Saccharomyces cerevisiae S288C: one gene and its partner. The protein of the gene in region 2 binds, or shares a complex with, the protein of the main gene of each other region. Each region holds a gene or a part of one and is shown on either strand. Other genes may lie near its edges. A codon is read from its position in the direction of its gene.

Region 1 (5,315 bases), on a different chromosome or scaffold from region 2:
CTGTAGTGAATATCACTTTTGTAGCTTTGCAATATATTCAAAGCGGACTGGATTCCTGGCGTTACAGAAAGCGGTACATCTTCCGGCATACCATTGATTTTGAAATCTGCTATCGCATCAATGTCTAGTTCCGTTTTTTCCGTGAGGTCCGTTGGTGGCTTTAAAAATTGACGATTTCTACCTCCTAATTTGCCCAGTATTCTGACTACGTTGTGGCTGATAGCATGATTAAATGGTTGAGGTTGCAGAAGGTTAAACAAGGCCTTCGAAACGTCATCGATTACCGGTTCGATTATAGGATCAAAATACTCGGCGGTCAAATTATCAATACATAATTCTAAGGTCCTTAAACCCTGCGAAACGAGATCAGGATATTGCTGTAATGCAAATACCAATGGTTTCATCAAAAATGGCAAATAAGGAGCAAGCACACTTAACCGAACTGGTACAGTGATGCATAATTCCACATAAAGTTCTCTCTCGTGGGGCAATCGTGCAGTAAGTATCATTTGGTTTAAAGATTGTAATAGCACCTGTAGTATGGGCTTAATCGATCTATATAAGTTTTCAAATCTGCCCCCACCTATACTTCTAAAAAGAGTTCTAATAAGATAAAAGTATACTAGAGGCTCTTCTGCTGTAGTTGAGTATTTCAGGGAGTTTAGAATTAGATCGTTTAAGTGTGGAAGAAGAACAACCTCATTGATATTGGGGAAAAGATTGACGGACATAAAGGACAATTTGAAAAGTCGTATTAGGACATTAGAAGTGTTAAAATCAACGTTTCCTAAATCTTTCAATTTCCCTTTCAAGAATCTTAAAAGGATGCCAGCAAAATTTGGGGAGGTTATTTCACTTGTTAAAAAGGATTGCGCGACATGTAGCAGCCCAGAATCCTCCAGCATTCTTTCATAGACAAATGGCAGTTCCTGTTCAATTATTTCATTAAAAGTGGCATTATCCATCTGCATAAACATAAATGCCAAATAGTCCATTAACTCACGAGCATCTTTGGTGGCTGAGACCGGTAGGCTGGGCATTGATATATCAAAATGTTTTTTTGTTGTTTCTGGAGATAATTTTTCATTATGATCTTTAAAAAATTTCAAACCAATAATACATTCGTGAAATAAATCCTTGAAAACAATGACTTCCTCATATGAAAAAACTCTAGAAACAGAAGCCCACAATTTAGGATTAGCAACCGTATATTCGTTAGGAGGTGGGTTAAAGACTTTTAAGTCATGAATTATTGTTTTTAAGAAAGACATTAAAGTTCTGTATAAGTAAAAAGCATCCTTGATGGGATCATTTGTTGGTGTGGGTAGTAATAATATAGGTGCGTAGTTTTTTATGTCAAACATTTCAACGTCATTCTTCACCACTTTGTCAGATTCTGTCATTTCAACATCGGGACTATCATTGATATCTTCTTTTTTAGGCTGTGGCATCAAATGGTCGTCATCGGATGGTTCCAGTACCTTCCTCATAAATTCCTCACTCTCTTTGTCATTATCCTGTATAGAGTTTTTGAGCTTTTCTGCTTTCTCCTTCTTATGCGTTTCGTATCTTCCATAGTACTTCATTATTGTATCGTACTGTCTGTTTAAGGTTTTAAATCTATTCATATATGAGTCAATGATTATCATTAACAATTTCTTTGCTCTAGGGGCCTCTTGTGGGTTCTCCTTTCCCAATTTTAATATTCTTTCAACTAAATTAAGCAGCAATTTTGCACTCATGATTTGTACAGTTAAGGCTAATGACTCATCCAATAGATATCCAGTGTAAATCTTTATTGTTTTTTCAATTTCACTTAGTTGTAATTCAGATCTTATATTATGAATGAAATCTGCCACAGTACTATAAGCCAGGGGCCTTAATGTTTCATGCATAGTAAAACCGTTACCAATAAGTATACGTTCGTCAAACAGATAGTCCAATTTGGGTAAAAAGAGCTTTTTGTAGTTTGTAGATAGAATGTGTCTAGTGGCATGCAAAAGTTCCTTCCTAGCAGATGATAGTTCAGAAGGGCAGTCTTGTAAAAGCCTTATGATTAAATCAGGAACAAAATTCACATAATCCTGCAAAAATTCAGGAGCGTATCCTCTAATGAATACGTAAGCCAAGAAAGACGTGGCCTTGATCTGGGCTAATATAAAATCACAGTAAGCCGGTCTGTTGATAATCTCCGTCGATATAGAAGTGAAATGTTCTCCCCGTGATTCCGCCTGTTCTCTCGCTTCCTGTTGTTGTTTAATTTGTATATTCAATAGATTCATAATAAGAGGAGTGAATTCCGGAAGCGAGGTGCTAGTCAACTGCTTGTAAGACGAATATAAAGTGACCATTGTAATAGGGCATTCAGAAAGGATTTTAAAGGAAAACATAGATGACCTCAACCCGTTTGATGAGGTAGAGTTTTCAAACCTTGGCTCCGTGGATGATTGTTTCGATGGAAAGTCCTTTTCTTCATCATTTTTGGAGAATTCATCGAGAAGTTCATCTGCCTGTGGTTCTTTTGGTGAATCCAAATCACCCTGTTCTGCTTTCCCGGCTTCATAAAACGTCTGGTTTATAAGGTTTGGTGTATTTTTATAAATCTGAATAATTATTCGTATGAAGGAGTCGAGTTTGTCCTGTAGTATTGATTTGAATGATTTGAAAAGTGTCGTCAGCACTTTCATACATAATATCCCATTTTCTTCGTTTTCCTTTGGTAGTACTGAAAGTAAAAACTCGAGCACTTCCATTGCGTAGGGTTGAAAGGTTTGGTTCATGAGACACCTGTTGAAAATATCAAGCATAGAGTTTCTCAACTTTTGTTCCGGTGAATGCGCATCATATGAAATAGGAACTTCCTTTAGCTGGTTTAGAAGTAAAGGTATCACAGCTTGTAAGAAAAAATGGTAATCCTCAGGAGAATTCAGTAATTCCATTATGTCGTACAATTCCGATAGAGTGGAATATCTCGATTGTAGAGTGGCATCATCATCGCGAAACCTACTGGCGAATTGCTCGATCTGCTCAGTGAGTGACATCGGCAAAATGCGGTATTCTTTGTAACTATGGAGATATCGTGTGATAGATCTTCTCTGAATTTAATCTTCTTTATGTAATTACGTGTGATACCTCCGATTTTGTTGGTGTTGTTTATTAGAATACAACTAAAAAAGGCTATTAAAGAAAAATGGTTCTTGAGCTTTTTTTTCAGTTTGACCTGGAAAACTGTCTGACCACGTGATCACTTACCAAATTAGGAAACACAAGATTCAAGGTGGTCTTTTGAACAATTGTTGGTTGAATTTGTAATTTGAGGGTACAATAAATGCAGACTGATTTGGTATTCGATACGTGCGTTAGCTATTTTCGTGCGTTTTGTTTGTTCCTATGATCTCAGCGGCGTCCAGATGCTAGTTGAAAAGGCATGAATTATGGCTTTGTCTTGAAATGCGCGTGTCCGTAAAATATTGTCTGGCAGAGTAGCGTACAATTCTTAGTTTTGGCTTTTTGATTCAAGTTGATCTTCAAATTTCACTTATTTGCGTTCTGGCGATCTATCTGAAGGAGTTGATTAGTGGCGGCTAAAAGTGATGCAGCTCGTCCTTCTGTTTGCCCTATTGAAGGTGAAGCCTTCCGTGCACAATGCGAAAAAAATGTTCTTTTTTTTCCTTCGTTTCGTCTCAACGTGGGAACGATCAAACTGGAAAAACCAAAGAGAAAAATGTTAGAAAATAAATAAATAAAAAAAACACGTACGCTGTAACAACTTAGGTCTGATTCAACCAAATCGGAGCTTGCAACTGAAGAAATTAGTAATTTTGAGGGTTACTAAGGAGGCCATTTGCAGAAGAATATTGGACCATCATGTCTCAGCAGAATATTTTGGCAGCTAGTGTTTCAGCGCTCTCTCTTGATGAATCTACTGTGCATACGGGCGGAGCATCTTCCAAAAAAAGTAGAAGACCTCACAGAGCATATCATAACTTTTCCTCGGGCACTGTTCCTACTTTGGGCAATTCACCCTACACTACACCCCAATTGAATCAGCAGGATGGTTTTCAACAACCTCAAGCCTTTACCCCTAAGCAATTTGGTGGCTTCAACAACGGTTCGGGTTCCGTTATGTCCACGCCTGTAATGGTGAGTCAAGAGCGATTCGGTGCGAGTGAGGCCTCCTCGCCATATGGTCAATCTATGCTTGATATGACAGCGCCTCAACCTACATCTCACATTGTTCCAACTCAAAGATTTGAAGATCAAGCTCAATATTTACAACGATCTTTCGAAACTTGTAGAGATTCTGTTCCGCCCTTGCCGACCACCCAGTTTTATTGTGTTGACCAAGGTTCATGTGATCCGCACTTGATGAGTTTATCCATGTACAACATCCCCGAAAGTGAACACTTGAGAGCCGCCACGAAGCTACCACTTGGATTAACCATCCAACCATTTTCCACTTTGACACCGAATGATGCAGAAGTTCCCACAATTCCATTACCAATGGATGGTACGCCTTTGCGTTGTAGACGTTGTCGTGCGTATGCTAATCCTAAATTTCAGTTCACTTATGATTCAAGTGTTATTTGTAATATTTGTAGAGTTAAGATGCAAGTTCCAGGTGAGCATTTTGCGCCCATGGGTCCCAATGGGCAACGAAGTGATTTGAACGAAAAATCAGAGTTATTGCACGGAACAGTCGATTTCTTGGTGCCAAGTATTTACAATGCTATTCAGGAGAAGGAGCTTTTACCACTACACTACGTGTTTTTGATTGATGTTTCATTGTTAGCTAATGAGAACGGAAGTTCTTTAGCCATGGTGGAAGGTGTCAGGTCATGTATTGAGTATATTTCAGATTTCCAGCCAAATTGTGAGGTTGCTATAATCGTTTATGATAATAAGTTGCGGTTCTTTAATTTGAGACCAGATTTAGATAATGCACAAGAGTACATTGTAAGTGAATTGGACGATGTTTTCTTACCATTTTATAATGGATTATTTGTTAAACCCGGAAACTCGATGAAAATCATTAATGACACATTGATAAAAATTAGTGGTTACATCTCCACCGACAAGTATAGTCACGTACCCCAAGTCTGTTATGGTTCTGCTTTACAAGCCGCAAAATTAGCGTTAGACACAGTAACTGGCGGGCAAGGTGGTAAGATTATTTGTTCTTTGAACAGCTTGCCAACGATCGGCAACGGGAATTTATCGCTAAAAAGGGACAATGCACACATTGCTCATGTTAAATGCGACAATGGGTTCTATAAGAAATTAGCATCGGATTTTTTGAAATCCTACATTTCTTT
Region 2 (3,982 bases):
AAATCAAAGATGATGCTACTCTCTTCTTCCATCTCTTTGATACAATCCATTATGTAGTAACCATATGCAGAAGAGTAAGTAGCTCCGACCTGGTCGGCAAGCATTTTTACCAGCTCAGTTGGCATATACGATATGGTCGTACCTGAATCTAGCAGGACTGGGATCTTTGTAGTGGTTAGGGTTGTCAGATTGTCTTCTTTATCCCCTTTCGACGTACCTAATCCTTGTAAAGTGACTTGGAATTGAATTGGATCCTTGTAGCCGCGATGCTGCAAAGTATTAATGATGGGAATTGTGTATAGGTCGCCCGCATATTTTCCATGATCCACAGCGCCAAACAAAATGGTACCATGTTTCGAATCAGAATCATTTGCGAATAAAGAATAAGCTGTTGATTTTATTACACCCGAATTCTTTAGCACCATCGGAAAGTTATTGTAAGTGTAGCTTTTTTGTACAGAGCTGAGAGAAACACCAGAATAAGTTGACTCCAAGCCAGGCAAACCAATACCCAAGACACCAACTGTTGAGTTTGTTTCGTTTGCTACAGCAAATGATAAACCCGTAATGTTCAAATCGTTCAAGCTCAATTGATCATGGCCCCAGGTACCAGATGCAAAAGTCGTATCACCATAGGCGATCGAAAATTCTGTATTATTGGAGTTGAATGTAGACGACTTAGAGGTATTAAATGTCCCGTATGTAGCGCAGTCAATTAACTGTGATGTAGAAGCTGTACTATCAAAAGTAGCAGTGGCTTCGCTGGTAACTATAGTGGTGTCGTAGCTAATTTCAGTAAACACACTCTCAACCACGCTAGCCAAAGCATCCTTGTTTACTTGTTTAAAGGATGAGCCAGTGGTATCCTTCTTTTTAGTGGAACAGTATGGGTTGTCTGAACCCGTGACCCATAGATCAGAAGAACCAGTGTCGACAAGCACAGTAACTTTTTGAGGAGGGGTGCCAATATCTAATTCCACCGAATAAAAACTGTTTTGATTAGTCAGTTCCACCAGCTCGTAATCATCATCTCTTGTCATCAAACGCGTTCTACCTTTTGTATCATCCAAAGCGTTTTCAAATGAACTGCCGTATTTCTTCTGAAAATTCATTTTGACATAGACTTCATTACTTGGTAAGGATGGAAAATCTGTAACACCGGCATCTACTATTGAGCTGCAGACAAGTAATGCATCTACGACAAATGTGAGGACAGATAATTTCATAGAGCTCTTTCTTTTTCGTTTATTTTTGACGTATTTGCTCAAGCGAATAACGACAAAAGCTTGTTCTCTCGTTGATACTTTTAGCCAATTACAATTTCTTAGCAAGAACGAGTGACGCCAACCAAATTTCTCCCAAAAGTGATTATCTGAATAATGAAAGATGGTAGGAAATAAGGTATTGAAACAGGTTCAAAACTTTAAAAGAAAACTGCCAAATAAACTTTCTCGATGCGTAGCTGAAATTTCAACTTCAAAAAAAAAAAAACGCGTGTAACTTTCTACGTGCAAAACGATGTGTATGAATCCCGTCTTAATTAGTAAATAGGGTCTAGTAAGCGTAGCGAGGATGAATTAAATGCATTGTTGAATATGAAGAGCACCTTATGGTATATAAATGTACAATCTTGATTCATGACAGCTTTGCAAGTAAACGTATCAAATGAATATCACGATTTTGGCTGTATTACCCGGGCAGTATACGCGGCGAATTTTGTTAAAAAATGTGTTAGACTTAAGTCGGAGCAAATGAATAATGGGCATATATAGCGCATAGGTTCGCTAGTGTAAGACAGGAGACTGTCCAATAGCATTCGAATCATAACCGAATCTTTGCCAGTGTGTGTATAAAATACGACAATGTCTTCCAATCCAGAAAATTCTGGTGTTAATGCGAATAATAATACGGGCACTGGTAACGCTGATGCGATCACAGGAGCTCAGCAAAATATGGTACTGCAACCGAGACAGTTGCAAGAAATGGCCGCTAAGTTCAGGACATTACTGACTGAAGCAAGAAATGTAGGTGAAACTACTCCTAGGGGCAAGGAATTGATGTTCCAAGCCGCAAAGATCAAACAGGTATATGATGCCCTTACACTGAATAGGAGAAGACAACAGGCTGCGCAAGCCTACAATAATACTTCAAATTCAAATTCAAGCAATCCAGCTTCTATTCCTACTGAAAATGTCCCTAATTCATCACAGCAACAACAACAACAACAACAACAGACAAGAAACAACAGTAACAAATTTAGCAATATGATAAAACAGGTTCTCACCCCGGAAGAGAACCAAGAATATGAAAAGCTATGGCAGAATTTCCAAGTCCGTCATACGAGTATAAAGGAGAAAGAGACCTACTTGAAACAAAATATTGATAGGTTAGAACAAGAAATAAATAAACAGACGGACGAAGGGCCCAAGCAGCAGCTACAAGAAAAGAAAATTGAACTGCTTAACGATTGGAAGGTGCTAAAAATTGAGTATACCAAGCTGTTCAATAATTATCAAAACAGTAAAAAAACATTCTATGTAGAGTGTGCAAGACACAATCCGGCTTTACATAAATTCTTGCAAGAAAGCACTCAACAGCAACGAGTGCAGCAACAAAGGGTACAACAACAACAACAACAACAGCAGCAGCAGCAGCAACAGCAGCAACAGCAACAGCAACAGCAACAGCAACGCCAGGGTCAAAACCAAAGAAAGATTTCTAGTTCTAATTCTACTGAAATACCCTCTGTAACCGGCCCTGATGCACTGAAATCGCAGCAGCAGCAGCAGAATACAATAACTGCCACCAATAATCCCAGGGGCAATGTTAACACTTCACAGACTGAACAATCGAAAGCTAAGGTAACCAATGTAAATGCAACGGCATCTATGTTGAATAATATAAGTTCGAGCAAATCGGCAATATTCAAACAAACAGAGCCTGCCATACCCATATCGGAAAATATATCTACCAAAACACCAGCACCGGTAGCTTATAGATCCAACAGACCTACAATAACTGGAGGTTCTGCTATGAATGCCAGTGCTTTGAATACACCAGCAACAACTAAATTACCACCCTATGAAATGGATACTCAGAGAGTTATGTCAAAGCGTAAATTAAGAGAGTTAGTGAAGACTGTCGGAATTGATGAGGGTGACGGTGAAACTGTCATTGACGGTGATGTTGAGGAATTACTATTGGATCTTGCCGACGATTTTGTTACTAATGTTACAGCTTTTTCTTGTAGATTGGCAAAACACAGAAAATCGGACAATTTGGAGGCAAGAGACATTCAGTTACATTTGGAGAGAAATTGGAATATTAGGATTCCTGGTTATTCCGCAGACGAAATAAGAAGTACAAGAAAATGGAATCCCTCTCAAAATTATAACCAGAAATTGCAGAGTATCACATCAGATAAGGTAGCAGCTGCAAAAAACAATGGAAACAATGTTGCAAGCTTGAATACAAAAAAATAATTATGTTACCCACATTCTCCACTCTTCCACAGAAAAAATTCCTAAAGTTATAGTTCACATTGTTATATATGTATCTATAAAGCGAAATTTTTTAAAATTAATTGATTAATTAATATTTTGTATCTAAAGTGTTCATACTATATTATTTACTTAGATTATACATAATTAAAAAAAAAAAAAACTTTTTTTCCTTGTTTTCATTTTGTTTTTATTATTAAATATTAAAAAAAGTGTCCATAACATCAATGTTTTTTTTTACCTTTGATTAGTTTTCATTGGCGAAACCATAATCCCCGTTCCATTCCCATCATAACTACGCTCTCTTCTGAGTTGATCTTCAAGCTTGAACATCAACTGTCCATTATGATCCTTGTTAATATTTTCTTTGATTGGACTACTAGAAACACTTGAAGTTCCATCTTTTCTTGGTCTTCCTCTTTTTCTTGGAGACCTTTTAATTACCACGTTTTCATACTTTTTACCACCGCTGCAAATCATTC

Evidence for each region.
Region 1: the proteins of TAF12 (region 2) and TRA1 are in contact, whole or in part, in a cryo-EM structure (PDB 6T9I), measured with the Saccharomyces cerevisiae proteins. Residues at the interface, in NP_010429.1 of Saccharomyces cerevisiae: Ala353 (codon at 2,919), Ile354 (codon at 2,922), Phe355 (codon at 2,925), Lys356 (codon at 2,928), Gln357 (codon at 2,931), Thr358 (codon at 2,934), Glu359 (codon at 2,937), Pro360 (codon at 2,940), Ala361 (codon at 2,943), Ile362 (codon at 2,946), Pro363 (codon at 2,949), Ile364 (codon at 2,952), Ser365 (codon at 2,955), Glu366 (codon at 2,958), Asn367 (codon at 2,961), Ile368 (codon at 2,964), Thr370 (codon at 2,970), Pro373 (codon at 2,979), Pro375 (codon at 2,985), Val376 (codon at 2,988), Tyr378 (codon at 2,994), Ser380 (codon at 3,000), Asn381 (codon at 3,003), Arg382 (codon at 3,006), Pro383 (codon at 3,009), Thr384 (codon at 3,012), Ile385 (codon at 3,015), Thr386 (codon at 3,018), Gly387 (codon at 3,021), Gly388 (codon at 3,024); in NP_011967.1 of Saccharomyces cerevisiae: Leu869 (codon at 437), Val871 (codon at 431), Ile905 (codon at 329), Asp906 (codon at 326), Asn907 (codon at 323), Leu908 (codon at 320), Thr909 (codon at 317), Ala910 (codon at 314), Tyr912 (codon at 308), Gln935 (codon at 239), His939 (codon at 227), Ala940 (codon at 224), His943 (codon at 215), Asn944 (codon at 212), Arg947 (codon at 203), Lys951 (codon at 191), Arg955 (codon at 179), Arg2581, Ile2584, Thr2585, Leu2587, Ser2588, Thr2593, Ile2596, Leu2622, Val2623, Tyr2625, Leu2626, Ser2629, Tyr2630.

Annotation. Positions count from the first base shown.
Region 1 is NC_001140.6:300,487-305,801, reverse strand, and holds the start of TRA1 (histone acetyltransferase TRA1), read right to left. Parts: upstream 3,042-5,315; coding exon 1-3,041. Other genes in the region: SFB3 (Sfb3p), read left to right, coding at 3,868-5,315. UniProt on the Saccharomyces cerevisiae protein: Essential scaffold subunit of the transcription coactivator SAGA complex. SAGA acts as a general cofactor required for essentially all RNA polymerase II transcription.
Region 2 is NC_001136.10:744,876-748,857, forward strand, and holds TAF12 (Taf12p), read left to right. Parts: upstream 1-1,862; coding exon 1,863-3,482; downstream 3,483-3,982. Other genes in the region: MKC7 (aspartyl protease), read right to left, coding at 1-1,226; DNA-binding transcription factor SWI5, read right to left, coding at 3,738-3,982. UniProt on the Saccharomyces cerevisiae protein: Functions as a component of both the DNA-binding general transcription initiation factor complex TFIID and the transcription coactivator SAGA complex.